Solanum lycopersicum: one gene and its partner. The protein of the gene in region 2 interacts with the protein of the main gene of each other region in a pairwise test. Links are inferred from orthologs where the notes say so. Each region holds a gene or a part of one and is shown on either strand. Other genes may lie near its edges.

Region 1 (7,619 bases), about 2.4 Mb from region 2:
AAACCTATCTTGACTAGAAACTTGAAAATCTATCTCTATATAACTGACTATAAATCCTGTTTAAACATGAATTTTTTTAAAAAATAGCAAATATTTAATCCTAAAAATTTTGGTTTCTTACCTCAAACTTCAAATTTTTTAATTATTATTTTTTGAGAAATACTCCAAACTTTAAATTTATCTTCAAACATATTGGATTATTTATTAAAGACTAGATGCATGTTACCCAACTGTTAAGTGCGTCAGATGCACTCACTGCATGAAGAAACAAATAAATATAGGAGTAATAAGAATTGCCTCGTCAAAAACAGGCATGATTTGTTTTTTTAGATAGTTGAGAAACTTGTTGCTTGATAGACTTTACTATAAAATAAAGCTTAAGTAACAAACAAAACAAACGTGAATTACCAATTTTCATAAGTGACAATCAAAACATTGTATTATACAATACATGAATACAATACAATAGGTAACAATCATCCGAAAGAGAACCATACATATCCAGGATCGCCCTCCAAACGGTCAGTAAGGTAAAGCCAGAAGATAAGAATTGTACTCAATTTTTTCTCAGTCCCTCTAGTGTGCCGTGTGGTGCCTGCTGATTTGTCGAAAAGATTACCCAATCGACGTACCTGCAGGACTTCCCCTATGCGGTTCAAGCCATTCAAGGTGACCCTACCCAACATTTATTCGCAAATCCTGTTGTGAAATTGAGACTGCTCAACCTTCGGAAGCTAATTCGTGTTTGCACGCATTCTCTATCATACCATTGACCTTTTAAGTTTGAGAGTAAATTGTCCAGTTTTGGATAAATTGAGTATATTATTCTTTTTTGGATAAATTGAACAAATTGTTCTTTTCTGGAATAATTGAGCAAATTGTCCGTCATATCATGATTTTCGTTTTAGTTCATCTAGGTTTGACTTACTGGTGCATTAAGTTTAAGGATATGCACCGAGTTCATTAATTTTTGGTGATATATACTTGATGTCAAAATATTAGAGTAATGCACTTTTTAAGTTATAAAATATGCAAGTTTCTTGTGACCGAATCCTGAAATTTCTCTGGAAAAAAAACCTTAGGCTTGTTAATACAGACAACTATTTTGGCTCTTCTCCTTAATATAGTAGTACTAGAACCCGCGTTGCACAGTCAATATAAAAAAAACAAAAACAATGTTTATTGTCTTGCTTGTCTTTGTAAAGTGTAAATATAGTTCATTTAACAAAATTGCAGCTGTCGTTTGCTTTTTTACGCAATAATATTATAAATTTAACTACTTTATGAAACTTGAAGAGTTTGTAATTTAAAATAGAAGAGGAACTCTTTTGATATGTCCTTTTTGTGGAGAATGATCTTTTCATAAGATCATGTGGAGTTTATCAAACACTTCCTTTCACTCACATGTGGTTTCTTGAACTTGGTCAAATCAATCTATATATAAAATCAGACATTTTGGTGTATCTGTTGCACTGAGATTGTATTGTATAGATTGCAGGCGAGTTCGTAAATGTACAAGATGTTTTGCGAAATGTCACTGGTCGGTTGCGTGATAACCTCTTGGCAGCAAAGGTGTCAAATGGTGGTGTCAGCAGAAACAGCTCTCCTTTGACATCTGAAAGTAGTCCCTCTGGCCAAATGAGGGAACCTCCTTTTGGATTTCATCGGTCTAGTGGTGTCTCGCATGGTAACAATCAACATCCTGAGTTAACGCGGTCTATTAATAACCTTGTACTTTCCAACAAGACAGATCACCCCCCATCACCGGGGCTGTGGTCATCACAGGTGATAAACCGCTGAGTGTTTAATTTTCCCTTTAATTTAATGTGCATTCACCGACTTACCTTTGAACATTTCCTCTGGGCTTGGCTATTAGACACGACCTGGAGTAAACCAAAGAGGTGCTTTTGATGTCAGCAAAGGATCTAATTCAGTTAAAGGTGGCATGGAACTTGGAAGGTTGGTGTCTTCCACTCTTCACAAGCGGCTAATGCTTTTTCACCTGTGACAGGATGTACTTACGAGGGTGGACTCCCTATAATATGATTTGTACGAAAAAATTCCCTGTCTAGATTTACCAAATGGTCATTATAGACTTGGAGAAAAGATATGTAAGATTATCTAGAAGCCTGAGTAGAAATTTCTTGGTTGTATTCATCAGCTTGTTGCATTTTTCTATTGCTTGCAGTGGAAGCAGATCTGCCATTGTGACCAATACTACTGTGAAGATCATGGTTCCTGAAAACATCATCGGCTGTGTGTATGGGGAGGACGGGAGCAACTTGACTCGTTTAAGACAGGTATGTTGTCCCTTTCCCTTTATTAATTAGTTTTGTGGAAGGTACATGGGATTTTTAAACTCATATTTCTTCGTACTTCCATTCATTTTTGTGCTGGTGATTGATCTTTCTGAGGAACTGAATCAGATTTCAGGAGCTAGGGTCATGGTACATGAGCCCCGTCCTGGAACAACTGACAGGATTATCGTGATCTCTGGGACCCCAGATGAAACCCAGGCAGCTCAGTCTCTTCTTCAGGCATTCATACTGACTGAATAACCGTGAACTTAACAAAGAGGATCCCAATTTTGTATACTGAACTAGTACAGTTAGAACTATGTCAACAGCCAAGTACACTTTTTATTTTGTATACTATGTTGTGATGAGTCTGATGTTTGTTTATTTTTAGATAGGGTATTAAACATTAGTTTTTTGGTCTTTAATATGTTAGGAAATAAGAAATTAACTTGGTATTTATCCAATTTGACTATGCCGTCAACATGAGCAGAAGTTTTTTCTTACATTTGAAAGGGGATTGATTAGTTGACATCTTTATTTGCTTGCATCTGATAATCTTATAACAACTAGAGAAACTTTTAACTACTTTTATTTTGCATAGTAATGTAGGCCTGAGATGAGTTTAGAGTGGAGAAACATGGTCATTATTGATTAATATAGTTTGTGTTTCCAATATTAAATTTTGATTTCATTTATTGAATAAATTAATACAGTTCGTCGTATGACATATGAAAAATGACAACAAGGATGACATTACAATTCCTTGATTTGGTTCAATTAAGAAGCCTGATCTATGCCCTAGGAAATAAACTATGGTAATACGGCTTGAGTGTTATCACGCGTTTAAGCTAGCTTTTGCTTTGATTTAATTATTTATTTTTTGATAAATATATATTTTTTCATATATAAATGATACATATATTGCAAATTTAATTTGACTTATCTTTTATTTTCAAGTCAAAATAAATGAAAGTAACGATACTATCTTTAAAAAAAATTAAATGATGTTCATCATTTGGAACAATGGTTTGTTTACATGGACGAAACTCTTGTTGTCGACCCCATTTTTGGGGCTTAAGGATTCGGGTTTGTTTGGATATGGCTAAAGCTTATGGAGCTAGATTTGTTGGATCATAGTAGCTGTGTGGGGGTAATAACGTCTTTTAGTATTTTTATTTTTTAGAAAATATAAATCAACGACGTCAAAAATGGCAGAAGCAAATCGCAGAGCTAACATGTACGGACGGGAGACGATGAACGCTGCACTTCACCAAGATAGACACCAGCAAACTCAGATCGACGACGACGATGATGACGACGTCGTCGCTGCTGTCGGTGGCGGTGGCAGTGGTGGGGGAGGAATAGAGTCTATGGACAACCCTACTCCTCACATTCGCTACGACCAACATCATCACTCTCATTCTCACGCGCTTCACAACGGCGGCGCCGGCGGTTCTATGGAGATGAATGGTGTGGAAGGTGTTTCTCATAACGCCTTGTATGGTCCTCCTTCCGAAATTGTTCCTACTGCTGGTAGTGGAGCTTCCGATCAGCTTACGCTGTCGTTTCAAGGCGAAGTGTACGTTTTTGATGCCGTTTCACCTGAAAAGGTATTTCTTTTACTTTGACCTCTCTTTTTGTGCTTACTAAAAATGTTTGCCCTCTAATTTGTGCATCTTGCTCGTTCTTGTGTAGTGTGTTCTTTTATAAGTTTAGCTGAAAAGGTGTTTCTTTTAATTAGCGAGATTGGTCTGCATTTAATTTTTTTGTGTTGCTTGGATTCTTGCTTTTTTTGTGTCTGTCTACAAGAGATTGAGTGACTTAGGGGGAAGGATTTTCAATTTTAGAGATGGGGATAATTCTGTATTTGGCCAAAAGTTCTTGCCTCACTCTCACTCGACTTTTGGAGTTGTTGAGGTATTTCAAGACTCCGAAACTGGTCGTTTCTGAGATTAGATTGTATTTGATTGGCGAATTGGTTAGTGTGTACGGTGAATTGTTTGATATTGATCAAATTATGAAGCAAAGAGGCCATGCTGATCTTTTTTATCTTCCACGAGTAAGAGTGATTCTCACTGGCACGATTTTAGTATCACTGTAATTAAAATCTATGCACCGATGCTGAGTGAGGGGTTATCGCTCATAGGTGAAGTCATGCACTTCATAGAAGTGTTAAAAATGATGCACAGAGTGATCCAAATAAGAAGTCGTTGATGCTCTGAATCTCAACTTAGAAGAGTAAGATTTATGGATACTGAAATTAGTTCGTTTTATTGCAATCTGATCGTTACAGTGCTAAATTCACATACTTAAGAATTTTTTTTGACGTTGAGAATTGTGTGTTTCACTTCAAATGTGTGTGCTGTTTACTTCTCACTTTTCGCTTCAAGCTCCATGGTCCTTATTGCTTTTTTTTGCTCTTTTAGAAAAACTGTTTAGTATATGTATCAGGTAGTGGAATTTGATTCACAATTAGTGGATTTAAAACTTCATTTTGATATTTACAATAATCTTAATAGGGGTAAATTCTGTTTTTATGTTTATTGAGTTTTAGGTTCAGGCGGTGCTGTTACTGTTGGGGGGATACGAAGTCCCTCCTGGTATCCCTGCTGTAAATGTGGTTCCCCAAAGTCAGAGGGTATTCATCTTTATCTTCCCCTTACATTTTTTTACCAGACTGGTGGTTTATAATCAGTTATGGCACTTCCGCGGCAATATTCACAGGCTTCAGGTGACTTTCCTGGAAGATTAAATCAACCGGAAAGAGCTGCTTCTTTAAATCGTTTTAGGGAAAAGAGGAAAGAACGGTGTTTTGATAAAAAGATCCGCTATACTGTGCGGAAGGAAGTTGCGATGAGGTAATAAAACTGTAGTTTTTAATGCATGATGTTGTTTTGTCTGCTTGTTTGAACCATATTCGGAACTAGGTGGAGATAATGTGCAAATTGATGTCTGTTGCGATAGATGTCCCATCTGTAATTGTCCATTCGCTGTGCTAATGATTGATAGGACTAATTCACCCTTCTAAATTAAGTTGACAATAAGAGTAGGAAAGACATTTGCAAATTGTTATACACGAGGGGCGTCTAGCTCTGCGGCAGATGCTTTATATCAGCTTTATGCATTGCTTGAACTATTTGACTGGAATGGTGTAGGAGGTGTTTTGAAGGCAAAAGGAGCATTTATCTTAAAGCAACATTATTTTCAACTGGCTGACCTGCTGGACTTGGCGAATGCTACGAGTCAACTCCAACTTTTTGTAATTTTCTACAGAATTACCTGAAAAAGTAAAAAAGAGTGGAGTATGTCATGACTGAAATATGGCAGGATCACCTGAGGTGCATCTTACTTTATCTTTAAAAAGCAGAGTGCCCCCGAGCTGCACACACTTATTTCATATCTAAGACATTGTTTGAATGTGAATATGTAATTTCTAAATGACCTGACTGCTAAAAAACAGTTGCCGTGAGACAAAATTCTCACTTCCTCTTTACCTTAGGTTTGTGTATAAGAAAAGGTCAACTACAGCATTTTAAGGAATGAGGTAGAACTAACTAAAGAATGCTATAGCGAGGACATTGTAGTGCACTAGGTTGACATTGGAAATATAATAGGATAATTAGTGGTGAAAACATTATCCTATAAGAGGGAAGGGAGGTGTAATAGTATTTAAAGGATGAGACATGACCTCCTACTGAGCGCCTTATATTCTATCAATGCAAATGTCCCATAGTTTTGTGGACTTCGGAGCATTGGTACAACTGGCGCTAAAGTAGTGCACTTCATTATATGAAAACTTGAAATTATTGTCCCCCAATCCTTGCTCTAGTGATAAGAACACAGTCTGTGATGTGGGGGTTAGGCGCACTCCACAAATTTAACCCTACCACAAACAAAAGTGTGGTATTTAAATGGAGAATGGTAAATGCGCAGGCCTCTTTCCACCGAGTTTCAAGCTGTTCGCCTTGGTCTTGGGGATTTCTCAATTATCAAATAGCCCATTGGCATAATATATTAAAACTGAAAAAGCACATAAATACTACTACTAAAAATGGTCTGAGTTACAAAACTGTGGATAAATGACAATAATTAAAGCAAGTACGAGAAGATGTAAGAGCACTCCCATTTCCAATTTAGTGTAGCTGAATTATTATTTTATTCATTTATTAGAAGCCTTTTTTAAAAAAAAAGAAGGGGAAAATGGCCCATTAACTTTTGATGGACAATTTGGTTATTCAACTTTAGAGTTGAGGTCTTTCCACATTTAGTATAAAATATAATAATGATTTTTGCATAATATCGAAGACCACATTATGCAATAGAGCACCAAGACTTGTTTTAGTTCCATTACTTTATTGACTACTGACTATGCCATACCCTCGGGTGCAAGAACGGATATTTTACTAGCTCCTCTCATGTGGCCATGCATCAATCTTCAACTGCGGAATATTTTAATTATAGGCAACTGCTTCCAACCCATGCAAGTGAAACGACTTTTGCTAAAGGATGTCTATAGTGACATCTGACCATGCAATTTGTGCAGGTATCCTTAGATGTTATGCTAGTTCTTTCTCTAGTCAATATGATTTAATTTTATTTTCTCTTACTTCATTCTTCTAGAGGGAGGGGTTATGGGTCCCTGTTAGGTTTTTGAAGTTATTAATTTCAGTCCTTGTCTATATTTTCATCAGTCTTGTAGTTGAAGTTCATGGTTTAGACTAGGTCCTTTTATTTGTTCTTTTCAGTTGTCTCATCTGATCTATGTTATATTTTCAGGATGCAGCGCAAGAAAGGTCAGTTTACATCTGCCAAGTCAATACCTGACGAAGTAGGTTCTTCTGCAGATTGGAATGAAGGCTCTGGTCAAGAAGAGCAGGAAACATCGTGAGTTCCATTTTCTGTAGTAGTTGATTTTCCTTTTTTCAAGTTATAATATGTTTACCACCCCCAAAAATTCCCCTTGACTAGAACAATTAAAAAATTCCCCTTAGGAGCCAACAGTGGCATTTCACACTTTTGTCCCTTAGTCACTCGAACGCCCTGACTTCACGGTTGGAGGTGTAGGACACTAGGCTATACCTCCCTTCTCTGTAGTTGTTCTGTCTTCCGTCATTGAATTTGATGTAAATCTGTGGTCATTTTACAGCAGATTCAATTTTACATGGTCTCGAGGTTCAGAGGTTACCGATCACTTTAAATACAATTGACATCTTTCTGAGAAGTTTCTCTTTCCATTTCTCAACAGATGTAGACATTGCAATATTAGTTCGAAATCCACTCCTATGATGCGTCGGGGACCAGCTGGCCCAAGGTCTCTTTGTA
Region 2 (7,032 bases):
GGATCCCTTATTCCTGGAATTGAGAAGGCATTATGTGTAAGTTGTCTTTTTAATGCTTGTATTTGTGCTTTATTTTGTGAATTTTCCTGGATTTTGTTTCTTCTTTTATTATATTAAATGTTGCCATTGGTGTGCTGAACAGGAAAAATCTTCCACATCGAATTTAAAGATTGAAGCCCTCATATTTACAAGATTAGTGTTAGCATCACATTCACCACCTGTTTTCCACCCACATATTAAGGTAAGCCATCTTGATGCTTATCTGCTTTATACAATTTTAGCAGATCAAATGCATACCTGGACTGGTGTGAACTCATGGTACCGTGTTTTGAAAAGCTTAAAAATTATGGGCGTCCTACTTCTCACATAAAAACACAAAGAAAGGTTGAGAAATGGTTGTAATCTTGCATAAATATGATTTTATACATTGATTCGTGTGTACTTGTATAGCACTTTGTCAAAGGTTGTAATATATATGGGTGACCTACTTTTCACATAGTAAATTAAAAAAAAACATAATTTCTTTATTCAGCCTAGTTGTATGGCTTCATTCCTTGACTGGTCAATGCTGAGATGATCTAATAATGCTATATCCTCCTTTTTATTTGTGAAGTCTGTCGTTTCCCCCCTGTGATTTTGAAAAATTTTCTCGAATTAATTTTTTGCGTTTCCTTCGAATAAATGGTCAGAAAATAGAAATCATTTGTCTAACAATTCTTTGACTATACTCTCTGTTTTTGTTAACTAGGCTATAACTAGTCCTGTTATATTGGCTGTTGGTGAGCGGTATTACAAAGTTACTGCAGATGCATTAAGAGTTTGTGGTGAGCTTGTACGGGTGTTGCGGCCAAAGATTGAGGTTAGGTTTCTTTTACTTTGCCAATCAACAACTTGTATTAGTTCTATCTGAAGCACTGATTATGTTGCCTTTTAGGGTTCAACCTTTGATTTCAAACCCTATGTTCTTCCAATATATAATGCCATCATGGTGCGTTTGACAAACCAAGATCAGGATCAGGTTAGTTGTGCTTGCTTGAGAAATGAATATTTTCGTATGTAAATTGATGTTTATCTAAACTGTGCTCGACTCCCAGGAGGTTAAGGAGTCTGCAATTACTTGCATGGGGCTCGTAGTTTCAACATTTGGTGATCACCTGCATGCTGAATTACCTGCATGTCTTCCAGTTCTGGTGGATCGAATGGGCAATGAAATAACTAGATTGACAGCTGTCAAGGTTTGTTTGACATTAACTTCTTAGGGATTGAACTCTATCTATGACTAGGTTGTTTAGCTTTTGGCATCTATTTTCTCATCAGGCAAGACCTTAATCACAAAAATGAATATAAATTGGAAAAAGGTACAAGTACTTGAACAATTCAACAATTTTACTTGTACATCAGGAACTATGGGATCAAAGAAAATGATCAATTTAAGATGTCAACTTTTGCATCTTCGTGATGCTTTGTTAATTTTAACTTATTCTTCGAACCCAAAAAAGGGAAAATGAACATTTCAGATTTTGGCTCATGAGTTGGTATGGCCAGAAAATAGAATTATCCCTTGTGTAACAGTATTATAGAATTACTTTACCTCCCCTCTACTCTCACCGTTTCCTAGGCAGGACTTCTGACCTTCAGTACTGCCAATATTCTTGCTCTTCCCATGGCAAGTGGTTTAAATTACATGCTGCTTTGGTTGCATTGATTTGATTGAAATTTTCTCAGAGTGCATACCTTCTTTGCAGGCTTTTGCTGTCATAGCTGCTTCTCCATTGCACCTAGACCTCTCATGTGTCATCGAGCAAGTGATTTCTGAGTTAACTGCATTCTTACGCAAGGTGAAACTAGATGTTCTGAAATGTTAACAACTTAGGAAAAAATTCATTGCATTTTATATTATGAGGAAGTCTCAAAAGTTTGCTACTTTTGGAGGGTAGGCCAATCGAGCTCTCAGACAAGCTACTCTAGGGACCTTGAACACCCTCATTGTTGCTTATGGTGATAAAATTGGATCTGCTGCGTATGAAGTTATTGTTATGGAACTTTCTACGCTAATTAGGTTTGTATTTTGATTCATTTGATTTACTAATTTTCACATGTCATATGTTCCTACAATATTTCAATCTTAAATTGTGTCATTAATATCTTCTCACTTTTGATTCATCTGGACTTTAGTGACTCAGACTTGCACATGACAGCCCTTGCGCTGGAGCTTTGTTGTACATTAATGGCTGACAGAAGGTCAAGTGCTAATGTGGGTTTGACTGTAAGAAGCAAAGTTCTTCCTCAAGCCTTGACACTAGTGAGAAGTTCACTGCTTCAGGGGCAAGCCCTTCTGGTACTTCCTTGTTTCTCTTGGTCTCAGTTTTGATCTAGGCTGTTTTCTTATGCGAAACTCACTTCTATTAATATGCAGGCCCTTCAAAACTTTTTTGCTGCATTGGTTTACTCTGCCAATACAAGCTTCGATACTCTGCTAGATTCTCTACTTTCAACAGCGAAACCATCTCCTCAGTCTGGTGGTGTTACCAAACAAGCTCTCTTTTCCATCGGTCAATGTGTGGCAGTTCTTTGTCTTGCCGCTGGTGATCGGAAGTGTTCTTCTACTGTAAACATGTTAACAGACAGCCTGAAAGATGATAGTAGTACTAATTCGGTAGGCCCTTTATTTATTTAGTTGCATCTTGGATAAGTTGTTTGAATAAGTTGTTTGTTGCTGTTGAATTGTATGTCTATCTCATCTAAAGACTTGAGTCGTTAGAGTAGTCTACTTGAATTGTATGCCTTCAACATGCTAATATGCCCCCCCACTCACTTGATTCTTTTCCGTGGGGCAAGCATGCTACAAATTTTTGGATAGTGGGTGGCGGTGTGACATGAATCCAAGACCTTTTGCCTGCTTTGCTACCATTTCAAGGAAATACACCTTGGGTTTAACTCAACCCTTGAAGTTACTCTTTCATTGTGAGGATTACTCGAGACCATGATAGTAGGTAATAACCCATTGTTCTACCGATTGTAACAATCTTAGCCACTAGTGATACTGCCACTTTGTGTTTAAGCTTTGCAGGCTAAAAAGTGTATCATTAGAGTTTCAAAGCTTACTTCTTTATATACCTAGCATCTCTCTCATGTTTGCCAATTGTGAGGATATGCTTAGGGTCATACAACCCCTATAGTTGGAGTGGAATGGCTCTGATACCATGCAAAAATGAAAGAAATGATCATGGCCTTAACTTGATTCAAAAGCTAGCTTGTGATGTGAAATTGTCCAAGGCCACCCATAAGGAGACAACAATATATATCATCAACCATATTGGCACTCTAATAAGAAATTACCCACACATCTAGGACTGAAGATTTGAACTGTGGATAACAAGTGTGCTCCGCACACTGATGTCATTTTCCTAACATGACATGTTAAGAAAATGAACATTAAATGCTAAAAGTTAGTTTATGAAGGAGTATTCGAAAGCGTACAAGGAAATTTGATATGATGACATTTTCTGTTTTTCATTAGCTTTTGTATTTTGTTAGCAGTTGTGGCAAACTACTGACACACATAATAAATGACAAAGCAAATTTCCTGAGTTTAGACTTTTTTTTAAAATAGACCATGGATAAGAAAATGGTTCTGCCATTGAGAATTATAAGTTTATATGACATTGTTTCTTCTGCTTTCTTCAAATGGTACTAATAACTGTAAGAGAACCCTGTTTTTTCTGAGTTCAGTTATCCTTTTCAGGCCAAGCAACATCTTGCCTTGCTATGTTTAGGGGAAATTGGAAGGAGAAAGGACTTAAGTCCACATGCCCATATCGAAAATATTGTCATCGAGTCCTTCCAATCACCTTTTGAAGAGATAAAGTCAGCTGCCTCTTATGCTCTAGGAAACATTGCTGTGGGTAATCTACCAAAGTATTTACCCTTTATCTTAGACAAAATAGACAATCAGCAGAAGAAGCAGTACCTACTGCTCCATTCTTTGAAAGAGGTATCTACATTTTAGATGGTCTCTTATTTCAGAAATTCTTTTCCCTCCAAGCTAATTGCTTTCTGGACTCATCGTGATATGTGGTTGCCAACAGGTCATAGTGAGACAGTCTGTGGATAATGCTGAATTCCAGGATTCAAGTGTAGATAAAATACTTAATTTGCTCTTTAATCATTGTGAAAGTGATGAAGAGGGCGTTAGGAATGTTGTAGCTGAGTGCCTGGGAAAAATTGCACTTATTGAACCTGGCAAGCTTGTTCCTGCATTGAAGGTACAACTAATGATATATTTCTTTCCTGTAAATGATTTCGTTTTGCACTTGATGTTCTGTCTGCAAATTTGACTATTTATTACTATAATTTTTGTGTAGGATCGGATTAGTAATCCAGCAGCGTTCACCAGAGCGACTGTTGTAATTGCTGTGAAATATTCCATAGTTGAGCGACCCGAGAAGATAGATGAAATCTTGTCTCGTGAAATTTCATCCTTCTTAGTGCTTATAAAGGATAAAGACCGGGTATTCCTAATTTGATGTCAAGAACTTTTTCCATTTCCGTAAAAATTTACTGGTCCCCCCCCCTCCTCCCCCCTCCTCCCCCCCCCCCCCCCCCAAAAAAAATCACATGCAGTCACCCCAAAGCCCCCCAGTCCAGTGATGTCGTGTTTACTTTTATGCTGTTCGTTTCTTTATAGTTCTCCTTTTAACAGTCATCTCTTGCAGTCTTTCATTATATCTTCCCCTAATTTAACTTCTCATCACATGCTTTGTTTATTGTGCAGCATGTTAGGCGTGCAGCTGTCCTGGCCTTGAGTACTGCAGCTCATAACAAGCCTAACCTGATTAAGGGCCTTCTACTTGAACTCTTGCCACTTCTCTATGATCAGACTATAATTAAGGTGACAAATATCTCCTTAAAATTTAATCAGTTTTTTGTGCATTTTAGTTTAGGTTGTATTTCAAGGCACTTGAAACTGGGGCACACCACCTTCCTTTTGTCTACATATGTTCGTACCAGATTGGCACAATTTATGTGTACATGCACTGGCGAAACTCCAACTCTTGGTTCTTTGAGATATGTATTTGATTGCTGTTTTAAAGCTATGGGCCCAAGGATTACACTACATCCTGCTGAATACTCTTATTCCCGAGTAGTAGAATAATTGCATGCAAGTATTATCTACAATTCATTGATTAAACATATCATCTTTCTTTGTATTTTTGTATTTATACTTATTTGAAGCTTTAATCGTGTGAGTCAGAGATGGATAACTGTAGATTAAAGTTTGGCTAGATGGTGGTATGAAATAATAGGCTTGTTTCATCTCCCCACGAGCATAATGCCATGATATTCCAAATCTCCAGTTAATTGACCAAGACAACTGTTGGATGTTATCAGCTAGCATGCCGATAACATTATTCCATATACGGTGGTATAAATTGTGAAGTCGAAGATGCAATTAAGTAAATGCATACCCTAAGTTGGAATGGGCCAGACTTTGCCTATGATCTTATTGCTAATCTTTATATGTACAATTTGTGAACATGATCATCTTATGGGCATCTGTCTCAAGTAAATTAGGACTAGGACATGTTTGTGCCCATATAGTCATATATTCTTGGCATTCACCTTATTAGAGGTTTGTTGCTTTTGTTTAGCAGCCTCATTTGACATCCCATGTTGGTTAATTCTTTCAAATTCAGAACCCTCTCCTCATATGTGGACAATTATCTTACAGTTATCGTGGAAATAAGAACAAAGAGAACCTGTACTGATCCTACTCATGGATCCTATCATTTAGGACAGTATATGCGTGATTGTTGTCTAAAAGTTAGATTAATTGCGTCTCATAATTAAAGATAATTCAGGACCTATCAATTATTCCTAACCTTGTACTTTAGGAGTGTCACTAATAACAGTTGATTGGTGGCATTCTCTATCATTGATTATGCTTCTTTCCTCTTGCAGAAAGAATTGATAAGAACGGTTGATCTAGGTCCCTTCAAGCATACAGTCGATGATGGACTAGAACTGAGAAAGGCAGCTTTTGAATGTGTAGACACATTGCTAGACACTTGTCTTGATCAAGTGAATCCCTCATCTTTCATTGTCCCATATCTTCAATCTGGTTTGGATGGTAAGTTGATAGCTTGTGATAGACCCGATTCTTCTATTGTTATCTCTATTTTTCCAAATGTGGTGTTCTGATTCTTGATTTGATTTTATTGATGTCTGCAAATTCTATTTTTTTGGGGATGGGTGTGGCCGTGTGGTAGCATCATTGGACATGTCACTGCGCTCACATGCAATTATTTTACTGCTGAACTGAATCTTTTGCCTCTTCTCCCAGATCATTATGATGTTAAAATGCCATGCCACCTTATCCTTTCTAAACTTGCTGATAAGTGTCCTTCAGCGGTATTAGCAGGTATAGTCTTTTTGCTGCTTTTTCTCCTTCTAATGAACCAGTTTGTTATGTTTACAATACATTGCTTTTGCAGTTCTGGACTCTTTGGTGGATCCTCTGCAGAAAACAATAAATTTCAGACCAAAACAGGATGCTGTCAAGCAAGAGGTTGATCGCAATGAAGACATGATTCGAAGTGCCCTTCGGGCAATTGCAGCCTTAAATCGTATCAGGTAAGTCTTTTTTTAGTGTCCCCTTGAAATGATTGTGCTTTTGTTGACATGTGTCTTGAATCAATAATTTAGGGGGATGACCTTCTCTTATCCTTTTCGTATTTTTCTTGTTCTTTCTGTGAAAATGGAAGATTTCTATTTCTTTCCCAGTGTAGCATATTTCAGATTTTTCATACCAAAATGAAGTTATGAGTCATCAGCTCATCTACTGCTACTTTTGATTAGGACTGCCTTTAGGGCAATATACAAGTGTTATAAACTAAGCTCGATATCCATGTGTGAAAAGGAAAATATTCTTGTTGCAATTTGATACCTCTGTTTCCTTTCCTCTCTTCTTTTCTCGATCTTCCTTGTTTGCCTGACCTTAGTAATGTATTTGTTGCTCCCATTGTTTGCAGT

The links. The genes of interacting proteins can lie anywhere in the genome.
Region 1: the proteins of CAND1 (region 2) and GATA transcription factor 24 interact in binary tests that used the Arabidopsis thaliana proteins (3 or more experiments, as listed by UniProt). The link is inferred for Solanum lycopersicum from reciprocal best matches to the Arabidopsis thaliana genes CAND1 and ZML1.

What each region holds. Positions count from the first base shown.
Region 1 is NC_090800.1:90,034,117-90,041,735, forward strand, and holds the start of GATA transcription factor 24, read left to right. Parts: upstream 1-3,314; 5' UTR 3,315-3,505; coding exon 3,506-3,907; intron 3,908-4,851; coding exon 4,852-4,935; intron 4,936-5,021; coding exon 5,022-5,155; intron 5,156-7,073; coding exon 7,074-7,181; intron 7,182-7,542; coding exon 7,543-7,619. Other genes in the region: KH domain-containing protein HEN4, read left to right, coding at 1,492-1,785, 1,877-1,959, 2,189-2,300, 2,427-2,558. UniProt on the Arabidopsis thaliana protein: Transcriptional activator that specifically binds 5'-GATA-3' or 5'-GAT-3' motifs within gene promoters.
Region 2 is NC_090800.1:87,680,295-87,687,326, forward strand, and holds part of CAND1 (cullin-associated NEDD8-dissociated protein 1), read left to right. Parts: coding exon 1-36; intron 37-142; coding exon 143-241; intron 242-748; coding exon 749-859; intron 860-934; coding exon 935-1,018; intron 1,019-1,094; coding exon 1,095-1,235; intron 1,236-1,745; coding exon 1,746-1,838; intron 1,839-1,937; coding exon 1,938-2,059; intron 2,060-2,175; coding exon 2,176-2,338; intron 2,339-2,416; coding exon 2,417-2,656; intron 2,657-3,745; coding exon 3,746-3,994; intron 3,995-4,088; coding exon 4,089-4,265; intron 4,266-4,364; coding exon 4,365-4,511; intron 4,512-4,774; coding exon 4,775-4,891; intron 4,892-5,961; coding exon 5,962-6,130; intron 6,131-6,343; coding exon 6,344-6,421; intron 6,422-6,494; coding exon 6,495-6,633; intron 6,634-7,031; coding exon 7,032-7,032. UniProt on the Arabidopsis thaliana protein: Key assembly factor of SCF (SKP1-CUL1-F-box protein) E3 ubiquitin ligase complexes that promotes the exchange of the substrate-recognition F-box subunit in SCF complexes, thereby playing a key role in the cellular repertoire of SCF complexes.